Alligator mississippiensis: one gene and its partner. The protein of the gene in region 1 purifies or fractionates together with the protein of each later gene. This does not show direct contact. Links are inferred from orthologs where the notes say so. Each region holds a gene or a part of one and is shown in the gene's direction. Other genes may lie near its edges.

The links.
Region 2: the proteins of MMGT1 (region 1) and FLOT2 purify together in Homo sapiens (affinity purification with mass spectrometry; 3 studies listed by BioGRID and IntAct, with this or other methods). This does not show direct contact. The link is inferred for Alligator mississippiensis from reciprocal best matches to the Homo sapiens genes MMGT1 and FLOT2.

The regions. Positions count from the first base shown.
Region 1 is NC_081831.1:80,139,245-80,147,264, forward strand, and holds the start of MMGT1 (ER membrane protein complex subunit 5), read left to right. Parts: upstream 1-4,563; 5' UTR 4,564-4,612; coding exon 4,613-4,694; intron 4,695-6,411; coding exon 6,412-6,464; intron 6,465-7,351; coding exon 7,352-7,455; intron 7,456-8,020. Other genes in the region: SLC9A6 (sodium/hydrogen exchanger 6), read right to left, coding at 4,118-4,385. UniProt on the Homo sapiens protein: Part of the endoplasmic reticulum membrane protein complex (EMC) that enables the energy-independent insertion into endoplasmic reticulum membranes of newly synthesized membrane proteins.
Region 2 is NC_081837.1:1,221,945-1,229,928, reverse strand, and holds the start of FLOT2 (flotillin-2), read left to right. Parts: upstream 1-4,809; 5' UTR 4,810-4,857; coding exon 4,858-4,906; intron 4,907-6,926; coding exon 6,927-7,008; intron 7,009-7,984. Other genes in the region: PHF12 (PHD finger protein 12), read left to right, coding at 266-404, 900-1,234; DHRS13 (dehydrogenase/reductase SDR family member 13), read left to right, coding at 2,248-2,374, 2,454-2,572, 2,676-2,799, 2,874-3,185, 3,432-3,694. UniProt on the Homo sapiens protein: May act as a scaffolding protein within caveolar membranes, functionally participating in formation of caveolae or caveolae-like vesicles. May be involved in epidermal cell adhesion and epidermal structure and function.

The DNA.
Region 1 (8,020 bases):
TGTAAAATTCTTTGCATAGACAGGGTGACAAATGTGGAAGTGTTAAATTGTGCTGCTATGTCACTCATGGGAATGTTGGTCATGTCAAGCAAATACAGGATCACAGGATCCCAAAGAATGTGCTGTACTCTGAAGCTCACAAAGGGTCTAGAAAGAGAAGCAGACCGCTGCGCAGATTTCAGGATGCTTGCAAAGATGACTTAGCATCCTTTGGAATCTCTGTGGGTGATTGGGAAAGGAGTGCAGAATGCTGCTCTGCCTGGCAGAGTCAGCTTGCAGATGGAGCAAGGTACTGCAAGGCAGACTGGATCAAGTTTTGTGATGACTGGCATCAGAGGAGGAAAGAACCTGTTGCTTGGATTCAGAGCGCTGCTAGTTCATGGGTGTGCGCTACCTGTGGGCACACCACAGCACTCACCACCACGTACACTATGCTCCATAAAGAGCAATGGTGCCAACTGTTTAGTACAAAAATCAGTAACTTCTACCAGGGTAACTTTGTCAGAAAACCAAGGCTCTGTCTGTACGAGGGCTGTAACAGACTTTGATCTTCTGTGTTCAAAGCACAGAGGCACATGCGTAATGCACAATCACTAGTGTTATGCTAATTCTTGCCCACTGACCATTACTTTATGCCCACAGATGGAAACAAACTTCTGCACTCTAAAGAACCCAAAACATATAACTTTAGAAGGCATTTTCTGTTTGGTTTTGTAGAAATCTACATTTCTCCAGCTGCCAGCTTGAATAGCTCAGCCATAAGCACATCATCAGGCACCACCAATTAGAACTAACAATTGCATAGAAAAATATAAAAAAAGAGACCTTCTATGTTGGCTACATAGCATTTGATAATGAAGACTCCTAAAATGTACTCAATAAGGCCTTGTCTAGACGAGGAGAAGCCTAGCCCAACTGCTCCCTCCGGCTTGATTAACTCACTCCACCCACACTCTTAACCCACTGAGGTCTGGTTTGGTCAAGTTACAGACTGTCAGGTAACCCAGGAGAAAGTGAAAGCAGTATCCCCCGCCTTGTGTTGGGTTCAATCATGTCATTTCAATCACGTCAGTGCTGCTGTAGCTCCAGACAATACAAAGCTACAACACTGATCTAAATCAGTCCTTCAGTGCTACTAAGTACTGCCCAATGAGACTGCCTATCTGCCCATCTCCCTGCTCAGCATCACAATGCTCAGCTTCTTTTTCCTGCGCACCTGCACCTCACTCTGGGCACCTTCCTTAGACAGCTCATTGAGCATTTTCATTAGCTCTGATAGGAATAACATCCCCATTTTGCTTATAGTTGTACAAGGAATCCAGGCTCACAAGCCGCTGTGCAACAGGTGGGTACGACACAGACAGGCATCTGCCCCTGTGACTTCCTGGGCTTGTCAAAAGGATGGATTACAGGAACTTTCAAGCCAGTGCCTTTTCTGTGAACAATCAGAAGTAAACAGTTGAGAAGTGCCACCGGGAATTCTGGCTGCTTGCCCACAAGCCGCTATCTCATATCATCACCACATTCAAACACACAAACACAGGGAAGTTGAACAAATACCAGATGCATGAGTAAAGAATGCAGAGTGAGAGTGCAGTTTGCTGGGTTAGCTCTGATTAGTAGAAAAACTAAATGAATCTGGACAAGAAGCATCACCATTTAAATTACTCAGCTAACTCCAGGGCCCACTGCCCATACCCTAGAGCACTCCCTGCTATAGCCCCCAAATACAGTTGATACTTGGAAGATACCAAGGAACAAAAGCCTAATCAGTTATGAACTAGAAACAGCTGGTTCTGAGTGACAAATGAAAAATTCTTAACATGAATCAAGAGAACATAGTAGATTGCATTGTACTTTCTTGTACACCATTACACATTCTGGAACCCACCCAGCTACTCAACAAAAACCTATAAAGGGTATTTGTCTCCACAGAGTCACTGCTAGGCAAGTACTCTACACCCTGAATAATGATTTACTCTGTGATTTCTACTCAGTGACTACCAAAGAAGAAGCCAGAGGTGGGATTAGGACCCTGATGACAAATGCTCTTAACAGGGCAATTTCACCAGCTCAAATTCAGATGCAGGGGGTGGGGGTGGAATTTCCAAAAAAATCTAAGGGACGTTTGAGCAAAAATAACTCTGAAGGAACCAACCTCACCCACACCTTCAAGTCATGGGATCTGTGCTCTCAACTTCCTTAGATGTTTAACAAGTGCCTCCAAGTGCTGAGGTTGGAAGAGGCTACTCGGAGAGGTGGTGAACGTCCATCCTTAGAAAATTGTAACAAGAGATTAAACAAGCACTAGGCTGGGATGGTGTAGCCAAGGAGGTGCCTACCTTGAGCAGGGTGTGGGACTAGATGAACTCCTGAGGGCCTTTGCAGCCCTACTTTTCTATGATTCAACCTTATGTATAGTCAGACCCCACTTTCAATGTGCTGCATTAATGCCAGCCCCTATTTACTGCAATGCAGTGAAACCGAACTGGCACAAAACATCCCGGGGTGTGCACGAGTCCCGAGTGCAATTCCTAAATCTTTGACACGTAGTGCAAATATTACCTGGTATACTAAGAGGATCACACCCATTATCCCTAGTGGGGAAATTAGCAAAGAGGCTGCATGGCAATTTGGGGAATCCCTTTATAAACTGCCTACATGTTCTGGCTGATGTCAGGAAAATCCCCGAATCCAGAAAGGGAAGCTTATGCCATGGGTGACCGGGGTTGCAGCCCAATCCGCTCAGACCGGGAACATAAGCAAGAGCTCAGCTGCTGCCCGTTCAGGAGAAAAAGCATCTTGGAACAAGGAAGAAGCTGAAGATGCAAGTACAGAGTGGAAAATCCCCAAATGCACAAGAAATTGAACTGGCAAGGCTGCTTTTTAGACACCACAGAGGTGACGCACCCACCCGAGAGCCTGGGTAAACACTTAGTTGCTTAGCTGGCAACTCCGCTGTGGCAGCAACACCATAACCAGTACGTGGCCTGGCTGACCACCAGCTCGGGTACGTCGGCACCAGCTGCAGTCACACCTCCGACTGCAGCACAGACGTCCCCACAAACCTGGGGAAGAGGTGAATCCAGGAGCTCTGCGGAAAGCAGGGCGGGTACGAAACCCGAGTTTGGATTCACCTCGCTAACCCGAGGACCCTCGATTCACTCGAGACGCTCTGAGAAGACTGTCACGGCAGGCACGTCCTGCTCGCCGAGTTATCCGGGCTGGGGGGGGGGAAAGTCTTTAACTAGGACCCACACTTGCTCAGAGAGTTTTCCTGGGTGAAGTGGGGGAAGTCTTTAAATCAGGACCCACGCTCATTTGGAGAGTTACCAGGGCAGGGGGGAGGGTCTTTAACGAGGACTGACACTTGTTTGGAAAATTATCCAGCATGAGGGGTGGGGGGAAGGTCTTTAAATCAGGACCCACAGTTGTTTAGACAGTTAGTCACAGGGGGGAAAGGTCTGTAACTAGGACCCATGCTCATTTGGAGAGATATTCAGGGCGGGGGAAGGTCTTTAATGAGGACCCACACTTGTTCGAAGAGTTATCCAGGGTGAGGGGCAAGGGAAGGTCTTTAACTAGGACCCTTGCTCGTTTGGAGAGTTATCCAGGCAGGGGGAAAGGTCTTTAAATCAGGACCCACAGTTGTTTAGAGAGTTATTCAGGGGGGAAGGTCTGTAACTCGGACCCACGCTCACGTGGAGAGTTACCAGGGCAAAGGGGAAGCTCTTTAACAAGGACTGACATTTGTTTGGAGAGTTATCCAGGGTGAGGGGCAGTAGGAAGGTCTTTAAATGCAGACCCACAGTTATTTAGAGTTATTCGGGAGGGGGGGGGGTGTTTAACAAGACCCACGCTCATTTGGGGAGGTATCCAGGGTGGGTGAGTGGGGGGAAGGTCTTCAAACGAGGACCCAGGCTCGGGGCGCAAGCGAGGTGCGGGGCGGCTGCGGGCCCACAGGGCTCGTCGAGAAGCGAAGCCCCACACAGGCGCCTCTAGAGACGGGGGACATCGGAGCGAGCCGGGCCCCTGCGAGCGGCCTCAGCACCCCCGGCCGGGCCCGCCGCGGAGAGGGAGGCCCGGGCGGGCGGGCGGGCGGCGGGGCCGGCCTCACCGTAGATCATGGCCAGGCCGGTCTCGTGCAGGAAGCGCGCGCGGCGGTGCTTGAAGAGCCAGATGGTGAGGATGGTGAGGGTGAGCAGCAGGATGAAGATGACGAGGTTGGCGCTGTCCTGCCGGTGGCTCTGCTCGGCCGCCCGCTCCGACACGATCTCCTCCTCCAGCGCCGCCGCGGCGGCCCCCGCCGCCGCCTCGCCCGCCAGCGCCGTCGCCAGCAGCAGCAGCAGCAGGGCCCGGGGCCCCGCTCCGCCGCGCGGCGCCATGGCCCGCCCCGAGCCCCGAGCCAGTCCCCTCAGGAGCCGCTCGCGCGAGACCAGGCCGCCGCCATGACAGGCCCCGCTGGAACAACCCCGCCCCGCCCCGCCCCGCGCACCCACTGCGCATGCGGGGGGAAGCCCCGCCTCTTCCGGCTCTTGCGTCATCGCCGCGCGCCGCCGGCCCGGGCGCCCCTGGCGGTGGGAGGCGGCCGGGGGGAGGCACGCAGGGCAAGATGGCGGCCGCCTCGCTGTGGAAGGGGCTGGTGGGCGTCGGGCTCTTCGCCTTGGCCCACGCCGCCTTCTCCGCCGCGCAGCGTGAGTCGTGACGTGTGACGTGACGGGGGGGGCGCGGAAACCCCTCGGCCCGCGGAGGGGGGTCCAGACTACGGGGGGGGGCGGCTGTCATTTTGTGGGGGAGGGGAGGGGGGTGTCTGGGTTCCCCCTCCCCCTCCTGCTCGCGGCCTTGGGCCCCGGGGGAGCCTGTGGACGAGGCCGAGGGCAGACGGCTGTGTGGGGCTGGGGGGCATGATGGCGAGGAGAGGCCGAGGGAGCTGGGCTGGTCTCGGCGGGGGCAGACGGCACAAGGAGCAATGGGCGCAAGCTGCAGCAAGGCAAGTTGAGGTTGGATATTAGGAAAAACTTCCTCCCTAGGAAAGTGCTGGAGTGGAGCAGGCTCCCCGGCGCGGTGGTTGGGAGGCCGTGCGTTTCCCTCCCCTGCTCGCTAGCAGCTGGTTCCCCTTTCCTCTGGGTTTATGTCCCATCCCTTTTTGGAGCCGTCCGCATCCGCCACATCTGCTGGTGACGAGCTCCACCCTTGAGCGAGACGCTGGGTGACAAAGGACTCCTTTGCGTGCATTTCAAACCGACGAGCCCTGCCCGGCCTCCTCCAGCCGGCACCGCCGCAGAGGTTTCCCCGAGGAGCCCGTAGCTTTCAATACTCGGCCCCGCCGGGGCCTTTCTTGACCTTTTGCAAGGGAAGGGATTGCTCTAGTTTTCTTCTGCGCTCAAAACATGAGTCGAAACCAAGAGCCAGCCTGTCCCCAGGGTGTCTCAAGGCTCGTCGGGGGGTGGGGGGGCTCCCGCCTGAGGAGATGAAGAACGCGGTGGCCGAGGGTGCGTAGTCTTTGGGACGAGCTCCCGGGCAGCTCGTCCGCTACAACTGGAGCCCACGTGTCTCTCTGAAGGCTCCTGCTACATGTGTTACGCGACTGTCTGGTGAATTGTGCAATCAGCGTAGAGCAGCCACAGATGCAAAGTCATTATCACACCGTAAAAACGTCCGTGCAGCTATAGAAAGAGTTGAGCAGCTACAAATTTAGTGCCTGACAATGTGCAACAACTCTAGAGTCGGTTTCTGTCTGGCTTTCATTTGAACATGGGGCAGGGGCCCTAAGCAGTCCATTTGCGTGGAGTCCTGCAAGGCGCCTGCCATGTTTTCCCATGTAAATGTTTATGCAGAACGCCGAGGGCGTTAAAGTAGGTAGGAAACCCACTAGACGTCAGCGCCAGTGTTACGTGGCCCCTTGACAGGCTCTCGCACAGCCCCAGGGGGCTGTGGCCTGCACTGGCGGGGAGCCCCTGGGCTGCAAGCGCACAGTACAAAACCAGGCACTTCGGTTTAGCAGCACTCATGAGTCACGCGGACAAGTTTGACAGGGAACAGTCAGACACAGTCGGATAGTACAGCTCGCTCTCCTGCTGAAACAGCTTTTGTATAATGGGAGAAGGAAAGTATGGGTGGTGCTGGCTGGCTGACAGTTCACTTGGCAATAGCCAGTCTTCATAGAGATTGCTCTGCGGACACTTGTTCTGCATGAAGGAAAAAGTGAAATCGTTTGTTGAGGCAGGTCAAAGATGCTGTGTGAAGCAGAGGATGTGGGAACAAAGCTAGATGCAGCAGACATGCATGAACCCCTTTTTCTAGGGCATAACAAGGAATCCTGGAGCTTACGTGAATTGGATGTTACAGAGAGTTCTGCCTCGAAGAATGTCCCTGATACATTACTAACCTACCAATACCTCTGTTTTGTAGATCGCTCCTACATGAGGTTAACAGAAAAGGAAGATGAAACATTGCCAATAGATGTAAGTTGGATGGTTGCAGCAGGGTGAAAGGGTTAAGAGTAACCACACAGTTTGGTCCTTGCTTTCTCTCCTGGGTTTCTGTCTTTTTAATGGGATTTTTAACTGCACATTCCTCTGGATTCTTATCTGCAGGCAGACATCTCGCTGCCAGCCCCAGCTTCCAGGAAGGTGTTACAGTGCTTGCAAAGGGTGCCAGTCAGACAGAGAGACAGACCCCCAAGCTGGACTTTCCTCCCCTTTGCTACCACGGTGGCTGGAGCACCTCATCCAGCAATTCCAGGCCTTAGAGTTAAAGCTGTGGAACATCCTCCTGTTCAGTCCTGCTCTCTGCAGCACAAATGCCCGCCTCCCTCTGGCTTGGCCAGCTGACATCAGCTTGATCAATACTCTTTTGGGCTGGCCTCGCCCTGGCACAACCTGCTTGAGGGCATTAGTTTTCTTAATACTGGTGACATGAAAAAAAATGAACAGTGAAGAAAGCAGGGGGGAGGAGAGAAAGAAGTGGTGTCACATTGCCATCCCTGGAGAAAGCATGGAGCCACTAACTTGCATTTGCAAGCACACACAACAGTGCAGGGATTTGCTCAAAGGATACAGCATCTTCCCCAAGAACCCCACCGCATGGATCAAACTAGCGTGTAGGGTACAGACCAAGCTCTGCCAACACGTAGCAGTGCTGCCCTGGGAGAGTTATTTAAATGTCTCTGTGCTTGTTTCTGCGCTCTCTGCAGTGGGGATGAGGTTGGCTGCTTACCTCTAAATAGTACTTTGCATGAATGAAGAGCAAAGGCAAGCGCTTGTTACTCGAAACATCTGCAGGCAGGACAGAGATGTGAGGGGTGTGCAGGCTGTAGTGTCTCATGCGTGGGATGGCTTTTCTGTTGCAGATAGTTCTTCAGACACTACTGGCCTTCGCAGTGACCTGCTATGGAATAGTACACATTGCAGGAGAATTTAGAGACATGGATGCCACTTCAGAGCTAAAAAATAAGTAAGTTGGTTCACATGCTTGGCGCCTGCACATTTCACAGCACACTCCCGGAGCAGCCACCTCAGGCTGGTTTTCCTCTGCCCGACACCTCCGTAGATGTTTACTGTAGTGGTACCAGTAGCTGCCTGTCTCTGCCTGTTCCCCGCCATTAGTGTCTGACGTGCCAGATATGGTGAGGCACGACGAATGACTGGGATACACTTTCTCTTCTTTCCCCCAACCCTCTGTGTCAGGTGGATGGAGCAGAGTAAGGAATAGGCAGATCTTAGAGACCATTCTTTTCCCACTGTCTCAGCACTGGAGGGAGTTTGAGGTGGAGGGTAAGCTGGAGGAGGCCTGCTTTCTGGAGCTACAGCTATCTGGGTAACACCAGACTTGGGTGAAACCATGCACCACAGCACTACCCAGGACCCCCATGCTGCGATGCAGTAAGAAATCTGCACGTAGACGGCACTCAGTACAAAGGCACGAGTAGAGATTTTAGCTAAGGTATGGTCCAAAGGAGAGGAGTTGGGTAACTGTGAACGTGGTAGTTGGCAGACTTGTACAGAGGAAACGGTAAAGA
Region 2 (7,984 bases), on another chromosome or scaffold:
CCTTAGTGGGTGGGTGGCCTGGGCAGGTGCCGTGCAGCTTGTCCCTGTCCTAAGGTTGCAGAGGCCATGGTGGGAACGGTTCTCACATGCAGTGTGTGCAGAGCAGCTTGGGCCACGCATGCACAGTCTGCTGCCTGCCACTGCCTGAAGCAGTGGCTTGGCATCTGGAGCAAGCTGGGCCTTGGCGGGTCCTTCCCCCACCCACACGTCGGCCTGGCCGAGGGGGCGTTAGGGGGGTGACGCGTGCCCTCCTCTTCCCTTCCAGAACACAAAGCATTACGAGCTGCTGAACTACAGTGAGCACGGGACGACGGTAGACAACGTCCTGTACTCCTGCGACTTCTCCGAGAAGACAACACCCACCCCTCCCAGCAGCATTGTTGCCAAAGTGCAGAGCGTGATAAGTAAGTCAGGGCAGAGCTGGCCCCTCTGCCCAGCCCGTGCTCACAGGCGGCTTCCGTCCAGTTTCCTTACAGCGTTCTGCTGGCAAAGAAGGGAGGGGGCTTCCCACAGCTCAACAGTGGCTACCGGCGCTCCGTTCCCTCAGTCTGCAGAGCCCTCTGCAGCAGTCAGCCCAGCCTCTGGGGCTGTTAACCTGAGCTCTGGTTCCCTTGCGCTCCTGGCCCTCTCCAGAAAGCTTCAGGTTTTGAGTTGGGTCCTGGCGGGCTGCGTCCACACATGCTTTCCTTGCACTCCTGGTCTGCGGCTCGGGCGTGGGTGCAGCCGAGCAATTCCTCTTCCCCTATACGAGGGCCGGATGTTTCTCCAGGGGCTCGCAGCAGCCTGGTTGACGGAAGGAGCGTTGTCTCCTCTCTACGGCGGAGTGAGACAAGCCTCCAGCAGGAGCGCGGTGCTGGGCCTGCTCACTGCGGCCTGCCTGACTTGTGCTTCTCTTCCAGGGCGCCACAAAAGCAGGAAGCAGGAAGAGGAGCCGCACGAAGACGCTGCTGTGATGAACTCGCAGGCGCAGGGGCAGCACCGCAAGCCCTGCAACTGCAAGGCCAGCAGCTCCAGCTTGATCGGGGGTAGCGGGGCAGGCTGGGAGGGCACGGCCCTGCTCCACCACGGCAGTTACATCAAGCTGGGCTGCCTGCAGTTTGTCTTCAGCATCACCGAGTTTGCGACCAAACAGCCCAAGGGGGACGCGGCCTTAGCACAAGACACAGACTTGGAGGAGAAGCTCCCCCTGAAGCCCCACCAGGTGCCCGTGCTGCGCTCCAACTCCGTTCCCTAGGAGCCCGGGCCGGGGCCCCGTGCTGCAGCAGGGGCCTCGCCGGAGACTCTTGCAATGCAAACATGTACAAACCCCGCGGGGATTTTCTACGCCGGCCCAGGAACCGTTCACGCCGTTTGCATGAGATGAAGAACGTTTCACTTTTTTTAATTATTTTCTTTTTTTGCTCAAGTTTTCGGGGCATTTGCACATATATTTGTACTATACATTTCATTTTAAAAGGAAAACTGCAGTGAGGCGAGGAGCAGGCGCTGTGGCCCGGCCCCCTCCGCCAGGCCCTTCCTGCGCAATTGTAAAATAATCAGAAACTTGTTCTATTTTGTGCCAGTGACAATAGTTTTATATTAAAAGAGAAAAATACAGTTTTCATACAGCAAATCTATACAATATCATTGTTTTATTTAATGTAAAGAAGCGCTATACTCCCCCACAGGCCTCCCCCCTGCTGTGGTTGCACTACAAGTTGCTACTGTGTATTATGGGCAATGAGAAACGAGTTCTTTTCCTGGCGTCCACCCTCTCTCTCTCTCTCTCTCTCTCTCTTTGCATAAGGAAAGTATTGGATTCTGTGTAAATACATCCGTGACGGCATTTTTCAATGTTTTTAAAGCTGTGTACAGTGCTCCATGTGGGATGACGTTGCCTCCGATTTGTCTATTGTAGCAGATTGTCTGTCGTAAGCCTGTCTGTCTCTTCCGTTGGCCCCCGCCCCCGACAGCTAGCTCCGATGTACATAGTCATTGTAATGTTTTAGACTTTACAGAAACTTTCCTGTATTCTGTATATAAAAAGCGAAATACTTCCCAGTCTGTTTCCTGCCTGTCTGTCCTCACTCTGTGACCACCACTGAGGAGCTCGGAGGAGACCCCCGGCCGGGCTCTGCCCCAGGCACGCAGGGCTGGAGGGGGGAGAAGGCAGGAAGCTTCCGAGGAGCTGGCTGCCGCGGCGGTGCCGGCGCTGGGCGGCGGGGAGGAGCGGGGCCCCGGGGCGGAGCCAGCGGCCCGCCCGGCGCCATGGCCGCGCTGCTGCTGCTGCCCGCGCTGGCGCTGGGGCTGTACGCGCTGCTCCACGCGCGCCTGGGCGGCGGGGCGCGCTGCCGCAGCCGGGCCGCCCTGCGCGGCCGCACCGCGCTCGTCACGGGTGAGCGCCGAGCCCCGGCCCCGGCCCCGGCCCCGGCCCGCCCGCGCAGGGCCCCGCTCACGCCGCGCTGCCTCCGCAGGGGCCAACGCCGGCATCGGCCGCGCCACCGCGCTGGACCTGGCCCGCCGCGGCGCCCGCGTCGTGCTGGCTTGTCGCAGCGCCGAGCGAGGGCAGGCGGCCGCCCGCAGCATCCGCCAGGTGGGACCCCTAGCCCTCGGGCTCCAAGAGCTCTCCCTGGGCCGGGCGCGGGTGCCCAGCCAGTGCCCGCATCCCGGCCCCCCGTCTCCCCCTCTCCCCGCAGGACACCGGGAACAGCGACGTCCTCTTCATGAGCCTGGACCTGGCCAGCCTGGACTCCGTGCGAGCCTTCGCCGAGACCTTCCTGCGCTGCGAGCCCCGCCTGGACCTCCTCGTCCTCAACGCAGGTGAGGCCCGCGGCTCGCGCCTGGCACCAAAGGCCTGCAAAGCCTGCCTGCGCTGGAGCCGCCTTCCCTTGCAGGCATCGCGTCCGGGGGCCGGCGGTCGGACGGCTGCAACCTGGTGTTCCAGGTGAACCACCTGGGCCACTTCCTGCTGACGCAGCTGCTGCTGGAGCGCCTGAAGCACTGCGCGCCCAGCCGCGTCGTGGTCGTGGCCTCCAGCGCCCACCGCTCGGGGCGCATCGACTTTGAGCGCCTGGGCCGGCCGGTGGAGGGCGTGCTGCAGAACTTCCAGGCCTACTGCGACAGCAAGCTGGCCAACATCCTCTTCGCCCGGGAGCTGGCCGGCCGGCTCGAGGGCACCGGCGTCACCTGCTACGCGCTGCACCCAGGTGAGCCTGCGCCGCCTGACCTCGGGGCTGGTGCTGCCTCGGGTCTGCCCGAGGCAGGGCGCGGAGTCCCGAGGCTCGGCCGCCTCGTGCTGTGCTGCAAACTGGGGACGTTGGGGTGCAGGGGTCCGGTGCTGGGAGAGTGCTTCCCTGTGTCCCATGCTGACGGAGCTGGCGCAAGGCCGCAGGGCTTCCCCGAGCTCTGCCCAGCCGCTCGGGCACCGTGGCATTGACCACCTTTGCCCGCAGGGGTCGTGAACACGGCGCTGTTCTCCTTCGTCCCTGCCTGGCTGTGGCCGCTTTTCGTGCCCTTCTCTTGGCTCTTCTTCCGAGACGCCGTGAGCGGAGCCCAGACCTCCATCCACTGCGCCACCCAGGAGGGCATCGAGGCGCTCAGCGGACGCTACTTTGCCGACTGCCGCCCGCAGGAGCCGCGGCCCCGCGCCCGGGACGACACCGTTGCCAGGAAGCTGTGGGAGGTCAGCGAGAGGATGGTGGGGCTGGCCGCGTAGGGCGCTGCGCATCTCGGTGCCGACGGGGACCATGGGCAGGGCCCGAGCGGTGTCGTGCCAGCCGGGCGGTGGGCACAGGGAGGCTGTGCTGAAGGGGACCACACGTGCAGTCTGGGGCTGGGCTGCACTGGGCTTGAATAAAGCAGGATGCCTGCACCTCTGCACGGGGGAGTCGTTCCTGCGCCGCGCCCGGCACCGGACCAGCCCCTCGGCGGGACGCAAGAGCAGGTCCTGCCCAGTCCCGCCGTGCCCGCGCAGGCGTCCACGTGAGAACATCACCGCAGCAGGCCGTGTCGCTCAGCGTCCGCGTGGCCGAGGCAGAGGGAGGGCGAGCGCGTCCCAGCAGGGCTGGCCCCCCTCTCCCACTCGCAGCCTCCTGCGTTCGGGTCCGGACGCGGAGGCCGATCCCCACACTGCCTGCTGCCCCTTTCCTCCTGCGCTGCGGCTGCGTGAATCTGGCTGGACGTCCGGTGCCGCGCGGGGGAGACAACTGCCTCGTGTGTGTCTCGGGCGGCCTCGGGGATAGCGACGCCGGACTCCACCGACTTGCTCTTCACCGGTTAGCCTGTTGTGACCGTCGAGCCCCTTGCAGGCGGGCCGGGCCCACGAGGGAGCCCCCATGGCCGCCCGCTGCCCTGCTCTCCTCCAGCGTCGGGGGCCCGATTCGGGTGCGAGGGGAGCGGTTTCCCCTCCGCATCCATGTGCGTCCTGGGGCATCAGGCCGGGCGGGCTCCCCTGGCACCCGGGGTGCAAGGGACGTGTGGCTCCTGCGCCCACGTGGAACTGCATCCCCTTGCACACGTGCCATAGCCTCTGGGAAGGATGTGTTGTGGGCCTGCGGGACACGTGTGTGCATGTGCACTGGCCTACGCATGCACACATCTGGGCAGGCCCTGAAGGGCACGCGTGCACCTGTTCGCACGCCCGGCCTGATGCGACCTCAGGGAGAAGGGAAAGGGGGACGCAGGCGCATGCGCACGGGGTATCGCGCGGCCCCACTTCCCAGACCTCCCCCCCGACCTTCCCAACATGGCGGCCGGGGGAGTAGGGGGGTGGAAGTGGACGGACCCTCCCCGTGACGCACTTCCGGGCGGGCGGGGGGCGCGGGCGCGGGGGGTTGTGGGATCGCGGGGCGAGGCCGGGGCAGCGGCCGCGGCGGCAGGATGGGGAACTGCCACACGGTCGGGCCCAACGAGGCGCTCGTCGTGTCGGGTAGGGGCCGCGCGCGGGGCCAAGGGCGCGGCGCAGGGCAGGGGGGGCACCGGGCGGCGCTGGGGCAGCTGTCGCGCGCCCCCCGCCCGCGGGCAGGCCCGAGGAGGGGGGGTTGGAGCGGGCGGCTCGGGGCCGGCCCCTGCCTGGCGCCGCGCGGGGACTGCAGGTGCGGAGCGTGTGCCCTGGGCGGTTTCCGAGGTGCTGGCGCCGGGACGGCTCTGCGCCGCGCAAACGCCCTCCGGCTGCTCGCTGGCTGCAGGGAGAGGCCGCCCGCCCGCCCGCAGCGGAAAGCAGCTCTGGGCGCCGCGGACGGGCAGGGTCCGGCCGGCACCTGCCGGGGATGCCGCGTGCGCGTTGCGGGTGTCGGAGGAGGCCGGCGCGCTGGTGCTGTGCCGCGGCCGCGCTGGCAGCGAGCTGTCACCAGGCCGCAGCCTGTCCCTGGAGACGGCGCTTGCCCTGTGCAGCAGCGGGCCGAGTGTTGGGGTGCCGCGCGGGGACGCGCTGTTCGCAGGCACGGCCTGCTGTCACGCCAGCCTCCGCTGATCCCCGGAGCGCTCCCTCCCTCCCTCCCTCCGCACCGCAGCTGCGGGCTGGGCTTGGCTCTCCCTTCGTCCCGAGCCGGCTGCACTCGGGCTTCCTGCCCTCGGTGGGGCTCGTCCTCCAGCGCTGCCCGTGTCCGCATCGCGGCTCTTGGGGCAGCGGCAGGAGACTCCCGCTGTTGCCTCTACCGGTCTCGTGCGGTGCCTTCGGACCTGGGAGCTCTGCCGCCGGCACTGGGCCCCTTCCCCTGGACGGGTGCCAGGCACTGGGGAAGGAGCCGGCCGGCGGGGCTGGGGGCTTCCCAGCAGGCTCTCGAGGGCTGTCAGTGCAAAGCAGCTGCTCCGGGGAGAGGCTGGGAGATGTGCGCCTGGGAGACTGCGGGCCGGGCCGGGGTGCAGCCAGCCTTGAGAGCTCTGCCGCCCTCGGGGGCACGGCACACCAGCCTCGGGGCACGCGCGTGAGCTCCACTTCTCAACTCCCGCCAGCTCCTGGTGAACGGGTGTCCTGGGAGCCCGCCCTGGGTGCCGCAAGCTTCTGCAGGGCGCGGCTGCCTCTTGTCCCCGCTTGGCCCCTTGGCTTCAGCCCTCCATCCATGTGTTCAGCCCCTCTCCCCCAGACCTAGCAGAGCTCCCTGCCGCTTGCTCAGTCATCATGTGGCGGGGCTGCCCCTCCTGCCAGGTTGGCTCAGCCCACAGGTGCTGTTGGCCGGTGTCCGGCTCAGAGCGGGTCGTGCCTGTCGGCCGGAGCCAGAGCTGCACGACGTGGAGTTAACGGCGCAGCAGGGAAGTGCTGGCAGGAGTCCCCTTGCCTTGACGGGCTGCAGGGAGAGGCCGGGGCCAGGCTGTACGCTAAGAGGGGGCTGGGTCCGCGCGGGGCGTGGGAGGCCTCCGAGCATCAGCTGTTGTGGAGCCAGCTGCATTTGGAAAGTGGCGCCTCGGCCGTGCCAAGATGGAAAAGCCCCGTGTCGAGGCCCAGCCGCCTCCTGTCTGCTGCATCTCGCTGCGGACACGGCGCGTGGACGCTGCCTCCTAACTCAATAAGCTGATGGCTGCATGCAGCGCTGCTGCCTGAGGAAGGCAGAGAGGGGAGGAGAGGCGTGCATGTGTGTGGTGCCGTGTGTGGGCAGTGGGTACGAGCTCCTCAGGCAGGGAATGCCGTTGTGCTGCACTCTCAGAGGAAGGTGACCTGGGGCCAGCCCCATGCGGGGGAAGCTTCCTCCTGCCTGTCCTGCGTGCGCTGCTCCGGGGCCCCCCGGCAGGTTTTCCCTGGCAGTCCCGGTGCTGTAGCCCTGAGCCAAGGCTTTGTTGCCTCTCTTGCAAGCATGGCAGCTGGGTTGAACCTTGCTGCTGGGCAGAGCGCTGCTGCCGTGGCTCTCCAGCTGGCTGCAGGCCGCGAGGCGGGACACGGATGTGGTGCTGCGCGGGGAGCGTGCCCCTGCATGGCGGCACCCTCCACCCTGGCGCTCTTTGCTCTGCTGCAGGTGGCTGCTGCGGCTCCGACCAGAAGCAGTACGTGTTCGGGGGCTGGGCCTGGGCCTGGTGGTGCGTGTCGGACACGCAGAGGTAAGGAGATGACCTCCGGGCGCGTGGCTCGTGGAGCAGGGGCTGGGTCAGTGGCACCTTGAGGAACGTGGGATCCACCAGACGCGGTGGGAGCCCAGCTCGCGGCTAGCAGCCCACCCCTCCGGTGCTTGCTGCACGTGGCTCTGGCCTCACAGCTTTTCTGCCCCGGTGCTGCAGCCGGGGGAGTCAGGCAAAGTGCTTGCTGCACTGAGTTCAGACCAGGCCACACGTGGCCGGTGGGACTGGAGGAGCCTAGAGACGCCTCACCCACCTGTGGCAGGTGCCTGCGGCAGTGGCCAGGGAATATGAGTGGTTGGAGCTCGTGTCCTGGAGGTGCACTGACCCTTGTTGCTTCCCACTCTAATGGCTGCTCAGGGTGGGCCAGCACACCGGTGGGACCCTGGGGTGCCCTATCCCCCTGTCCCTGGGACTCGCTTGCCTTGCCTTCGTTGCTGTGCCTGTCTTGGAGCTAACGTGCTATGACGTGCTGCTGTTGCTCTGCTGTAACCCCACGGGCTGCAGAGCCCAGGGCATTGCCCTCTCCCTCACTCGGTCCTCTCCAGTCCCTCCCCCCATCCCCATAAGTAGGAACTAACTGGGGAAAGGAGAGACGAGACTTTCTGGTTTTGCAGTGACAGGGAAGTGGCCCTGCCTGGCCACTCTGCTCCCTGCAGGCGGGGTAGCCGGTGACTGCCCTCAGCATTGCAGGAGGCCCAGGATTGCTGGCAGGGTGGGTGCAGCTCCCTCCCCTCCTTGTAGCTGTCCTTCCCACCTGCCCCCCAGGCTGCTGCCAGCAGGCTCCCAGCTCTGGTGTGATGCACCCTTGGCATGGAGGCACTGCCACTGCATGCTGAGCCTTGCACTCGTGCTCGCTGTACCCACGGAGACCTCCAGCTGCAGCTGCACTGGGGGCAGCAGCCCCGTATGGACACGGGCTTCCCCATAGGCAGCTGCAAGGCCCGGGCGTGTGTGAGCA